Linked DNA regions of Xenopus tropicalis. The protein of the gene in region 2 interacts with the protein of the main gene of each other region in a pairwise test. Links are inferred from orthologs where the notes say so. Each region holds a gene or a part of one and is shown on either strand. Other genes may lie near its edges.

Region 1 (2,908 bases), on a different chromosome or scaffold from region 2:
ACTTGGCATGTAAGGCTGACATATCCACCATTTGTGTGCAAGCTTCTACCCTGAGACTGTAAGATAAAGAATTAGATGGCTTAAAGTACATTTTTGCCAAATAAATCTGTACTCATAATATTCTGTAACATTCTGGCAATGGAAGGTCCATTTTGTTTGAGATTGATGTTTAATAAATATTGCAAAATAAAAATCTTGTTTCCCCTTTTTTTTCTCATTCTATTTTGCAGTTCGCGAAATGATTCTGCACCCATATGAGACACAATCGGACAGTTTCTACTTTGTGGACAACAAACTTGTGATGCACAACAAGGCAGATTATTCATATAGCGGAGGTCCGTGATCCCCAAAAATAGCACGAGCGAGAAAGCATCAACAGCAGTCCCCTTTCCCCATAGCAGTTACGTAAGGGATAACACCCACTTTCCGTAGGCAAACAATCCAGGAAACAATATACTGTTTGCAAGTAGGAGATTTTTGGCTGTACCCCAGTCTTTGTAGCACATTCAGATAGTGCAAGAATCGTCAAACTGCAAAATCTGAGGCAGTGGACTTCATCAGCCCTTCCCAACATGAATGTGGGATAAGGATAAACCTAAATAAATACTTCTCTCTTGCTCCATATAAAGGGTTGTTCTCCTGGAACAAGGACTCTTGCATCTTATCTAAGTCTTCTTAGGACCAACCTTTCTCATATGACAGGCTTGTGAGTTCTTCATCAATATTCTTGCCTCTATCTAAGAGAAGAAAGGACAAAAAAATCATTCAGTAGTTTCTTTTTTTACTAAATGTCAGCTTGGGAAAAAAACATTGTTATCAAGGAAATCCAAGCCAAAGATTTAATCAGTTCTTCCTCTTTGGGCTTGCACTTGTTAGGATTCTTGTTATTCTCTAGGCATTAAGTATTGTTTGACATTTTCCCATTCATTTCTAATGAGATGGCTATTACACAAAAAACAAACACAAAATTGTGCATAGATCGTTAAGGATTAAGTGTTCCATCCATGATTGCAAATTACATTATTATTGAGTCCAGCCTAGTTACCTATGAGTCTGAAGCAATGAGGCCCATCCAAGGTAAAACCTGATCTGATATATTTGAAATAAGTTTTGTTTACGGTTACACTGTATTGTGCAGAAATAACAATATTAGCAATGTAATCCATCATGGAGACTAGAACGGAGTACAATCAGTAACAACCTGTGAGCAATTGTTTGTTTTTTTCCTTTATTTTTTTTTGTCTTTAATTTAAATATCACCAAGAAGCGCTGCATATTTATTTCAAATGGTCCGGTCCTCCTCCTGGGGAACAAGCTCACAGAGGCAAGTATTTTTTTTTTCTTTTTTTGATTGCAGTAAATGCACATTTAGAATTCCAGTCAGTTGAGCAATAATTCCATGTATAATACAATATCATGAAGATTGTGAATAGCTTCAATTTTGGAGGTCTTTTTCGTTTCTTCTTCCTCTTCTTGATGATGATGATAACTACACAATTTATTTTTAAAAAGAAAAAATGCTGTGGCACCTATATTGGGAAGAGGAGAAGATCTCCAGATGCATTGGAACAGCTATACAGATTTCCAGTAAATATGATCAAGTCCAGCCATTAGTATCTTCTCTGACATTTTTGTAATGAGCTTCCAAAATGCTGCAGCTGTGCTCTTGGTGTTGGGGCAGAATAAATGAATTGCTGTATATTTTATGAGACCATCAAATGTAAATAAGCATTTATATTTAAGGATTAACCTCACCAAAACCAATTAACATACATTGATAAAAAAAAAAACCCAATTCCAGTTCTCATTGTTTTTTTAACAATATGACTTTATCATCATGTATTTTCTTTCTTTAGAACAAATTTATTGTATTTTGCTGACCTGGAATTTCAGATTTCTTCCTTGAAACATGTTTGACGATGCTGCGAGATATTCCGCTAACGGACATTTAAATAACTAGTTTATAATGCAGGTAAATGGCTGTCCCTACAGTGCATACGTACGGCTGGGTAACGATGAGACCGAAGAAAGAATTCACTTTTGATATTTCATTATTTTAATAACTGTCACTTATCAAATGCATATTTTTCACTTTACCGAATCCACCATTTTCTGTATAAATAAGGAGGGAGTCTTTACAGCTGCAAGTTGTAGATATTTCTATGTATAATTATAAATAAAGAATGTCTGTCTGTTTGAGGATTAAGTAGAATGTAATATGTGCACTTCAGATAATTGTTACTGTAAGTATCATAGATTTTAACAAAGTACCGCCACCAGCTTGGTAGAGGGGTCATTTCAGTCTTGTTTGTGTTCTGACTTAATTATAGTAAACTTTTGTGAAATGAAACCAATATTGTGTGAGAAGTTCATTTATATTTTGAGGTAAATCTCCAAACCTTAAGTCTGCTAAAACTCATTTAAACATTTAATTAAACCCAGTAGGGCAAATTATATCTTAGTTGGGATCAAGTGCAAGGTACTGTTTTATTATTATTATTATTATAGAGATAAATTGAATCATTTTTACAAATATAGAAAAAATTAGAACTATTAAAATTGAGTTTATGGGAGATGGTCTTCCTGTAATTCGGAGCTTTCTGGATAATGAATGTATGTACTCTGCAAAGATAGCAATGTAGGGCTGGGGTATCTGGGGGCCGCCATCTCAAGGAGGACCCATGTCTCCCCTCCCATCACATACTGCCCCTGCCGCCCCACCTCAGCTGCTGCAAACTGATTTCTCCATTCCAGTCCCTTGCCGGTAACAGGACTGGATTTTCTCCCAATGCCCCGCAGCCCCAGTCCAACACTGAGAGAAAGAAAAAGTGCTGTCATCCTTTGCTACAGATAGATCTTTAATATTTTTTTTAGTAAAAATGAAGGAATATATAATGTTGTACGCTGG
Region 2 (3,658 bases):
GCCTATAAACCTGCTAGTATGTTTTTAAAGTGCCAGAGGAACCCAGAGTACCAAGAGGAGACCTACAAAGATATGAGATAACATACAAACTCCTCTATTAAATGTAGGTGCCCAGCACTACAAAGCAGCAATGCTAAAAGATGCACTACTGTGGCAATCTTCTGTACAGATGGACTAAGCTGGCCACCAACTCACTGGGGATTATTTGCCAACCCAGCAGCCACGTGGGTCCATAAGGACTGGTGCTGTGTTATGATAACTTACCAGTCTTCTAGTATGCAAGGTTAATGCTGAGTCCTGTCAATGGAAATGTGACAGGGCTTTAACTAAACACATTACAGACTTCAGATTTGTACTTTGGCATTAGCACCGGTGCCTTATAATCTAAATTTCTGTGCATAAAAAGAAAGTAGCAGGAGGATGATCTCTAGTTATACAGACCTCCCTAACTGGATACTGATATCCATGCAACCAAACCAGTCACCTAACTAAACAACAGTGCCCTTTCGGGTTTGTTATGAATCGTGCTTATCGCTGACCCTTACGGAGTGGAATGGCACTGGGACTGCAAACTGTCTCCACATGGTGTTTTCTTTTAAGCGCAGAGCTAACACGCATGGAGTAATTAGCTACAGGCAAGACGGAGTTGTAAATAGACACACATTACACTCTTCTTGGCTAATTGCTATGCAAGATTCAAAGACAACAACAAGATGATTTCCCTGAAAAATTTCCCTTTTAAGATCGTCTGATGTGTTCCCGTTAAATTGTTGCTCCGCGTGAGTCAACACCATGAAGAATGATCGGTTTTGTGTGAACGGCACATTACAGCGATATGTATATTGTTCCGTCTCGCAATAGTTTTATCTCTAGTGGGACCGGGAAGTGTACAGATGCATAAAGAACATATTCCTCCAGGATCCTTCTCCCCACATGTGAAGACAGAAATGTGGTATTTGCTGATGGTCCAGGAGGGAGCAATTGTACATGATGCAGGGACAGGCTGTTCGCTTGCAACTCTTGCTGAGGAAAATAACTTATTTATCAGCAGTTTCATGAAATTACCCTTCAAATCTATCATCTTAAACAAAACAAGCTTGCTTGGGTCTTCTACCATTTGTATGAAGATTTAAAGGGAAATCTAAGGTGACTGGTGCTCTATAAATCAGCAGGGCCAAGGATTGTAGCTATGCACGGAACAGCCATTTACACCTTTCGGGGCATTTGAATTCATCAAGCTACTAGTAGCAGCTACTTGTCGTGGCTACAGAAATAGACAATGCTGATCATTTACTGATAATTGTCTCTACGTGTTTAGCAAAGGCAATTCTCAGTATTGTCTATGGCAGGGTATTTTCTGGTGGTCAGTAGCCGTAACAAATAGCTGCTACTTAGTAGCTCCGTTTGTCTTCACCCCTTAGGAAACAGGAGGTTTGTGTGCCCTCTAGTGAGAGCCTTTATGATCAGGGAAGCCTTCCTGTAGCCGAGGGGCCAAATAGATGACTGCTGTAAATCAGTTAGCCCAGCTGCCAAGCTTTCTGTGCCTGCAGGCTTACTATGCATGAGAGGAGTTAAAATGTGAATATACTATTTGCACCATGGTATCTCTAAATGCAATAAAGTTAGGTAGTTAAATGCATATTAAGTATCAAACTATTCTGAATGCCAATGTCATTTATATTTATAATATCTTATCTTTGTACTTGGAAACACGTGGAAGATAACATCCTGTAAATTGCAAGGTTTGAATAGAGTTTTTACCTAAGGGTGAAGACACATGGAGCTACTAGTAGCAGCTACTTGTCGTAGCTACAGAAATAGACAATGCTGATCTTTTACTGATAATTGTCTTGCTACGTGAAAGCTGCAACTAAGTAGCTCTGTATGTCTTCACCCTAAGATTTGCAGTTTGGTAGCCAAATGAGTAGAAAGTGTTTTGTTTGCAGTAGTGACAGCATTGTAAATGTTCATTATTTACATGCTGGGGGGAACCATAGGCGGCAGCAGCAGCAGCTACAAGGCCACAGGTGACTGACCTACTATTTGCATTCTATGTACTTCTTAACTTCTATGTACTTTTTAACAAGTATCTTTGTTTATTTTCATAAAGGGGCCACCAACATCAGGAAGTACTGGAGTCGCTACTACCAGGGATCCCAGGGTGTGATATTCGTGCTAGACAGTGCCTCGTCCGAAGATGACCTCGAAACTGCCAGAAACGAGCTCCATTCAGCTCTGCAGCACCCACAGTTATGCACTTTACCCTTTTTAATACTGGCCAACCACCAGGACAAGCCAGCAGCTCGCTCAATACAGGAGGTACGTTTCCCCTGATTTCTACAGTTGCTCACTGTAGCACCGTTTCCTTCTGAATCCAACTCAGTCTAATTGAGGTCTTGGTAAGTGACACACCTCAAATAAGCACTTCCACCTTGTGAAAGGTAAGTAGCCAAAGCAAATGGGTTAATGAGCAGGTAAGAGGTATGGTACCATAACAAATGGGAGGTGTGCCGCTTACTGATTTTGTATCAATGGCACCAAAAATCACACTCAAATCTCCTGCAAAAAAACACAACATGGAAGGTTAAGGCCAGAGATGCAGTCAGTAATATTCCCTGCATCCTAATAGAGAACAGTCCACTTTCTATGTCGAGCTACCAAAAAAGCAGCAACTTTGATTTTATGATTCTTAGGGGATCTGGGTAAACCTACTGTTAATTTGGGGAAAAGTGAATATTGAATGAGCAGTTAGTAAGCTTCACATGAACCGTGGACTATGCTGGGAGTTAAAGTTAATGACCGCTCTAGGCCTGCATGCCTGATATCTCTAAAGTAGAACCTAATAAAAGTGCTTAAATTTCAGCTAGGAAGCTGGAGTGATATGTCCTCACATGTGGCACATGATGCTTATTGCAGACTCGCGGTGCCTTTACAGTTGCTGGTGCAGTTCATCGCTCATTTTACAACTCACCACTAGAGACAGGTTTCAGTTATTCAGGAGTAGTCAGGCATAAAATGACTACAAGCCTTCACTTCAAAGTGAAAAAGAAATAAGCATCTTTCCAGATGAAAGATTTTTTTAAAGGGAAAGTGTCACTGATATTTTTTAGGCCTAGTTCACTCGCACAGACACACACACAATGACATTTTAGGTTTAGATTTATGACTATTTAGGCCATTTGTTTATAGTGCCGGTGGCAAAGTGTTTTTGTGATAGTGGTCAATGGAATGTGGAGTCTAAGGTGCATGCCAATCAGCCTCCCCCAAAACTGAAAATTCTAGGAACTGTGAGAGGCGGTTTGAAAAGATACATTAGGAAGTGCAATAATAATACAAAGAAAGTTTATCATCCAGCCCCTTGGATTTGTCAGTTCCTTAGCAAACAGTTACAGGGTACAAACAGATGTTACAACTCCCCATAAAATTGGGGGACACATATAAAGTTACTTCTGTCTTAAGTGCCCTAAAAGTTATGTAGTTTGTCAGCCTTTCTTGGCACATATACAGAGCAGGCTATCAGACAACTGCAAATTCACTCTATATTTGTACCAGGAATGTCTTTTGTATTGAATGTAGTTCCTCTCTGGTCATGTCTCTCTTCCATCTATCCATCCAAAGATACAAGCCAGTAAAATGCTACATTGGTTTCATTGCAGAC
Region 3 (4,202 bases), on a different chromosome or scaffold from region 2:
AAAACTGCTGTCCATAAACGCTGTCCATCTAATCTGACTGAGCTGGAGCTGTTTTGCAAAGAAGAATGGGCAAGGATTTCAGTCTCTAGATGTGCAAAGCTGGTAGAGACATACCCTAAAAGCCTGGCAGCTGTAATTGCAGCAAAAGGTGGTTCTACAAAGTATTGACTCAGGGGGCTGAATAATTACGCACACCCCACTTTGCAGTTATTTATTTGTAAAAAATGTTTGGAATCATGTATGATTTTCGTTCCACTTCTCACGTGTACACCACTTTGTATTGGTCTTTCACGTGGAATTCCAATAAAATCGATTCATGTTTGTGGCTGTAATGTGACAAAATGTGGAAAAGTTCAAGGGGGCCGAATACTTTTGCAAGCCACTGTAGGTATCCAGTTTTTGTGCAGTTAAGAGAATTTTTGTGTCGCCTCTCCCTACTAGCTCTCCTGGCAGTGTTTCAATGCCCACTTCCTCTCAGTTTATATTTGGTTTTTCAGTACGTAGTTCCTCCCATTATATAAAATGTATTTTGTGAGTCAGTACCCACTGCCTCTCATTATATAATATAATTTCGGTGCCCCTCAGGCCTGGACTGGTAATCTGTGTATTCTGGTAAATGCCTGATGTGCACTATAAATTATTACATTAACATTTATTTATAAAGCGCCAACATATTCCGCAGCGCTGTACAATATGTGGGTTACATACATTGGACATACAGAGTAACATATAAAGCAATCAGTAACCGATACAAGAGGTGAAGAGGGCCCTGCCCAAAAGAGCTTACAATCTACAAGTCACTATTTATTGGGGAGGGGGGGGGGGGCTATTTGGGCCTCTGTATAATAGAAATGCCATGTCCTATTTTGAATCACAGTCCGGGTCTGTAAACTATGGTTGAATAAGAGGGGGAGAAAATTTGCGCCAGTAAATTTAACCTAAAATAAAAAAAAATAGAATCCAGTATCTTCCCAACTATGTAGTTACTAACAGTCATCATGTAATGCATTAAGTTACCTACACGAGTTGTGAACATGTGAACTTGTGCTCTAAATTGCTTTGCTTCAGTAAGTAAACTTTGCAAGATCACCCAAACTCAATTATTCTCTATTACCACCTGGAACAAGTAGCCAGTGAATGTATTTTGACCCTTTTCGTGTCCCGTACAACTTTCCTCCGTTTCTATGCAACATGAGGTTCCTCAAATTAGTGACGCGCGAGCACTCAACCAGACTTGAAATCGATTTGTCCCGCCCTGCGTGCGACGTTCTCTCTCTCCTAATTGGTGCGTGGCGATATCACTCAGCAGGGATTCCGACTGTGATTGGCCGGTGCTAGCATTTTTTGTTGAACTGTACTAAACGTCATAGGGCAAATAGGAGGAACTGATGTAGCTTAGTAAATCTTCTTAGCCAGATCCTGTAGACGAGGAGCTAGTTGTTAAATCCATGCTGACATAACGAGTAGTTACTATACGATTCCGGAAAGCAGTGCAACATTGTAGAGTTCTTCCCAGTGCCGTGGCCCTGGGACCTCTGTGTTACGGAAAGCTGATCAGGGCGTCTGTCAGAGGCAGAATCCACGCTGCTCGCCTCCAGGTGCAAGTAAAACTGCAAATTCTGTTCAGGATTATTACTCTATGTGGTGGGTGTGATATAGGTGTGGAACTACTACTTAATGCATAGAAGCTGTTTATGCTGCTAGATTACCCCAGCACCGACCTACCTGCACTATGTCTGGCCTGTACAGCCTACCTGTGGTCTGACTGGCTGATATCGCTTGCCTGTACCCTTTCTGGCTCAAACCATCTACCATTGCAGTTATATTTTGTGTATTGTCCATATCATCAATTGCTGCAAGGGCCCCAACTCACCTGCCAGAATTGGCACTTGGACACATCTCAAGATATTGCATATTAAAACGTGTATGTACTGAGAGAGTGAAGCTACTGTTGGATCACCTATGATTGCTTGTGCTGGTTGCTGTTGCTAGCACTGGCTGAAATGGAATTACTCTGACAGTCCAAGTTAGGGTTAGGCCACACCTATTTTATTGTCATTCTACTGGCCAGCGAGAGACCGTCATGCATGTACTTTCTGAAATTTAAATTAAACAAGACTTATACCAGTACTGTTCCAAGACCATCGTATTTAATTTTAAACCAAACTAAACTTTTGTTGTGTCAGTATGAATCTTATGCAGGCTTAACAAACCTGGATCATCTACAGAGGCCAGAAGTCTATTGTAATCACTGTAAAACTCAACACTGGCTTTTATAGCTTTTGCATAACTAGGACCGGAAAACTTGAACTGTATATCTCAAGGGATAATCCTTCAACTGATAAAGGAAATCAAGGACAGCATTCAACATGTCTCAGGATGAGAGAGCCAAGCAAATCCTAAAGGGATTCAAACTGTATCCAACAATAAGGGTGTAAGTGGAAAAGAGCATGTTATGAGAAAGTGATATCACAATTATGGGTCCCTTGGTGTAGGTCAGGTGTTGTAAGTATAAGATATAAATTTAAGTCAAAAAAATGAGTGGCGTCTGGTGATTCAGGCTTTATTTTTTTTTATCTCAGTGTTGCATTGATGACCAGCCTCTGGCCCTCCAGCTGTTGAGCTTTCAGCATCTCTTGGAAGATTAAAAGTGATTAGTGATTAGCGCTTAGGGAGATCTAGTCCAGATGGCAGGCCACAGGTAGGACTTCCCTGCAATACGGCATTAATGCAAACTATCAGCATGGTGTGACCATATGTGATATACTTATCTATAGGTTTATATTTGGTGCTAGAACATTAAATGCATCAAATACACACACTATTGGGATTCAGAGACGCAATAAACACCTCAAAATTTGTATAATAAAATACTACAAAAAAGTGCAAGTCTGCATCAGACCTGCTTGTTTAACAGACAAACAACAACTGCTGGCATTATGAAATAAGCACTAGATCGGTTACATTGCAGCCATTTTGTATGGGTTAACTCTCTGTATGGATGATTTACTAAGATAACAACTACTACATATCACCAATTCAGTTGCTCATGACAACCTATCAGATATTTGATTTCATTTTCTCAATGAGTGGTTTTTTTTTTGTTTGAATTCATGCCATAGGCAGAGGTATATGATAAGTGGCTTCTATAAGGTTTTTTTGATCTGAAGGGGTGGTCATTATTACAGATTGCTAGGTCTATTTCTATAGAAGTAGACTTATTTTTGATGATGTGGTTAAGGTCTTGTATGTGTTGTGTCTTTAATGGGAAAGAAACCTTGTCATTGGGGTAGGGGAAGTGTTGATATGTAAATTCCCCTCTAAGTGAATTTAATCACTGGAGTCTTTTTTTATTTAATAGACATGAAGCTGCGGGCCAGTTTGGGTGCAGATGGAGAGGGGGGGGGGGTGCAGGTCGACAAGAAGTCGACCCCGACATCACTACTGGCTTGGGAAACTTTCTAAAAGTGGTTCAGCTGTGCCTTTCATAAACTTAGATTTGAGCATGTGTAATAGACTAAAATCTGAAAAAATAAGGACACAAAGGAGCATCGGTCTGAGGAGATAGTATAGTAATGTAATGCACTGGGTAGTGCTTTACATTTTGGCAGCCCCTAGTATATATAGGATTCTTAGTCTTTCCATGTGTCTATACACAGACCGATATAGGCAGCCCACTGGGCCCTGTATGGAAGCTAAACTTTTTAATTTGTCTGGTGCTGCCTTAAGCACTGGACCTTAGCTCCAGGGTCAAACTGGACTACCAGGATATCAGGAAAAATCTCAGTGGGCCCAGACCCTGCCACCCAAGCCCTGGCTGGCAAATGCCAGAGAGGCTGCTGTAAGATGCCATAGACAGTCACTAGTGGGTTGATGGGGGGCTGTTTGGTTTGGGCATCTCTGCCTGAAATGCCATGGCCTGTTTTGAATGCCAGTCTGCCCGCAAGCCCCAGCCATCACCTCTCCCTGCTTAGCTGTGCTACTTATTTTGCTGTTTAAGGAACAGTTTAGTAAAAAATGAAACTGTGTAAAATAGACTGTGCAAAATGTTATGTCCACTCAAGTCACTGATTGGTAACTGACTGTTAACAACTTAGGAGGAGGAAGTAGTGTTCTGGCTACTATGTTAGACATCTGCCTACATAATACTTTATAGATTACATTTTCGGCTAACTAACCATATTGAAAACATTTTTTTATTT

Evidence for each region.
Region 1: the proteins of arl15 (region 2) and unc119 interact in binary tests that used the Homo sapiens proteins (3 or more experiments, as listed by UniProt). The link is inferred for Xenopus tropicalis from reciprocal best matches to the Homo sapiens genes ARL15 and UNC119.
Region 3: the proteins of arl15 (region 2) and retinal rod rhodopsin-sensitive cGMP 3',5'-cyclic phosphodiesterase subunit delta interact in binary tests that used the Homo sapiens proteins (3 or more experiments, as listed by UniProt). The link is inferred for Xenopus tropicalis from reciprocal best matches to the Homo sapiens genes ARL15 and PDE6D.

Annotation. Positions count from the first base shown.
Region 1 is NC_030678.2:34,709,095-34,712,002, forward strand, and holds the end of unc119 (protein unc-119 homolog A), read left to right. Parts: intron 1-230; coding exon 231-343; 3' UTR 344-2,350; downstream 2,351-2,908. UniProt on the Homo sapiens protein: Involved in synaptic functions in photoreceptor cells, the signal transduction in immune cells as a Src family kinase activator, endosome recycling, the uptake of bacteria and endocytosis, protein trafficking in sensory neurons and as lipid-binding chaperone with specificity for a diverse subset of myristoylated proteins.
Region 2 is NC_030677.2:192,109,566-192,113,223, forward strand, and holds part of arl15 (ADP-ribosylation factor-like protein 15), read left to right. Parts: intron 1-2,110; coding exon 2,111-2,319; intron 2,320-3,658.
Region 3 is NC_030681.2:101,179,530-101,183,731, reverse strand, and holds the start of retinal rod rhodopsin-sensitive cGMP 3',5'-cyclic phosphodiesterase subunit delta, read left to right. Parts: upstream 1-1,343; 5' UTR 1,344-2,369; coding exon 2,370-2,416; intron 2,417-4,202. UniProt on the Homo sapiens protein: Promotes the release of prenylated target proteins from cellular membranes. Modulates the activity of prenylated or palmitoylated Ras family members by regulating their subcellular location.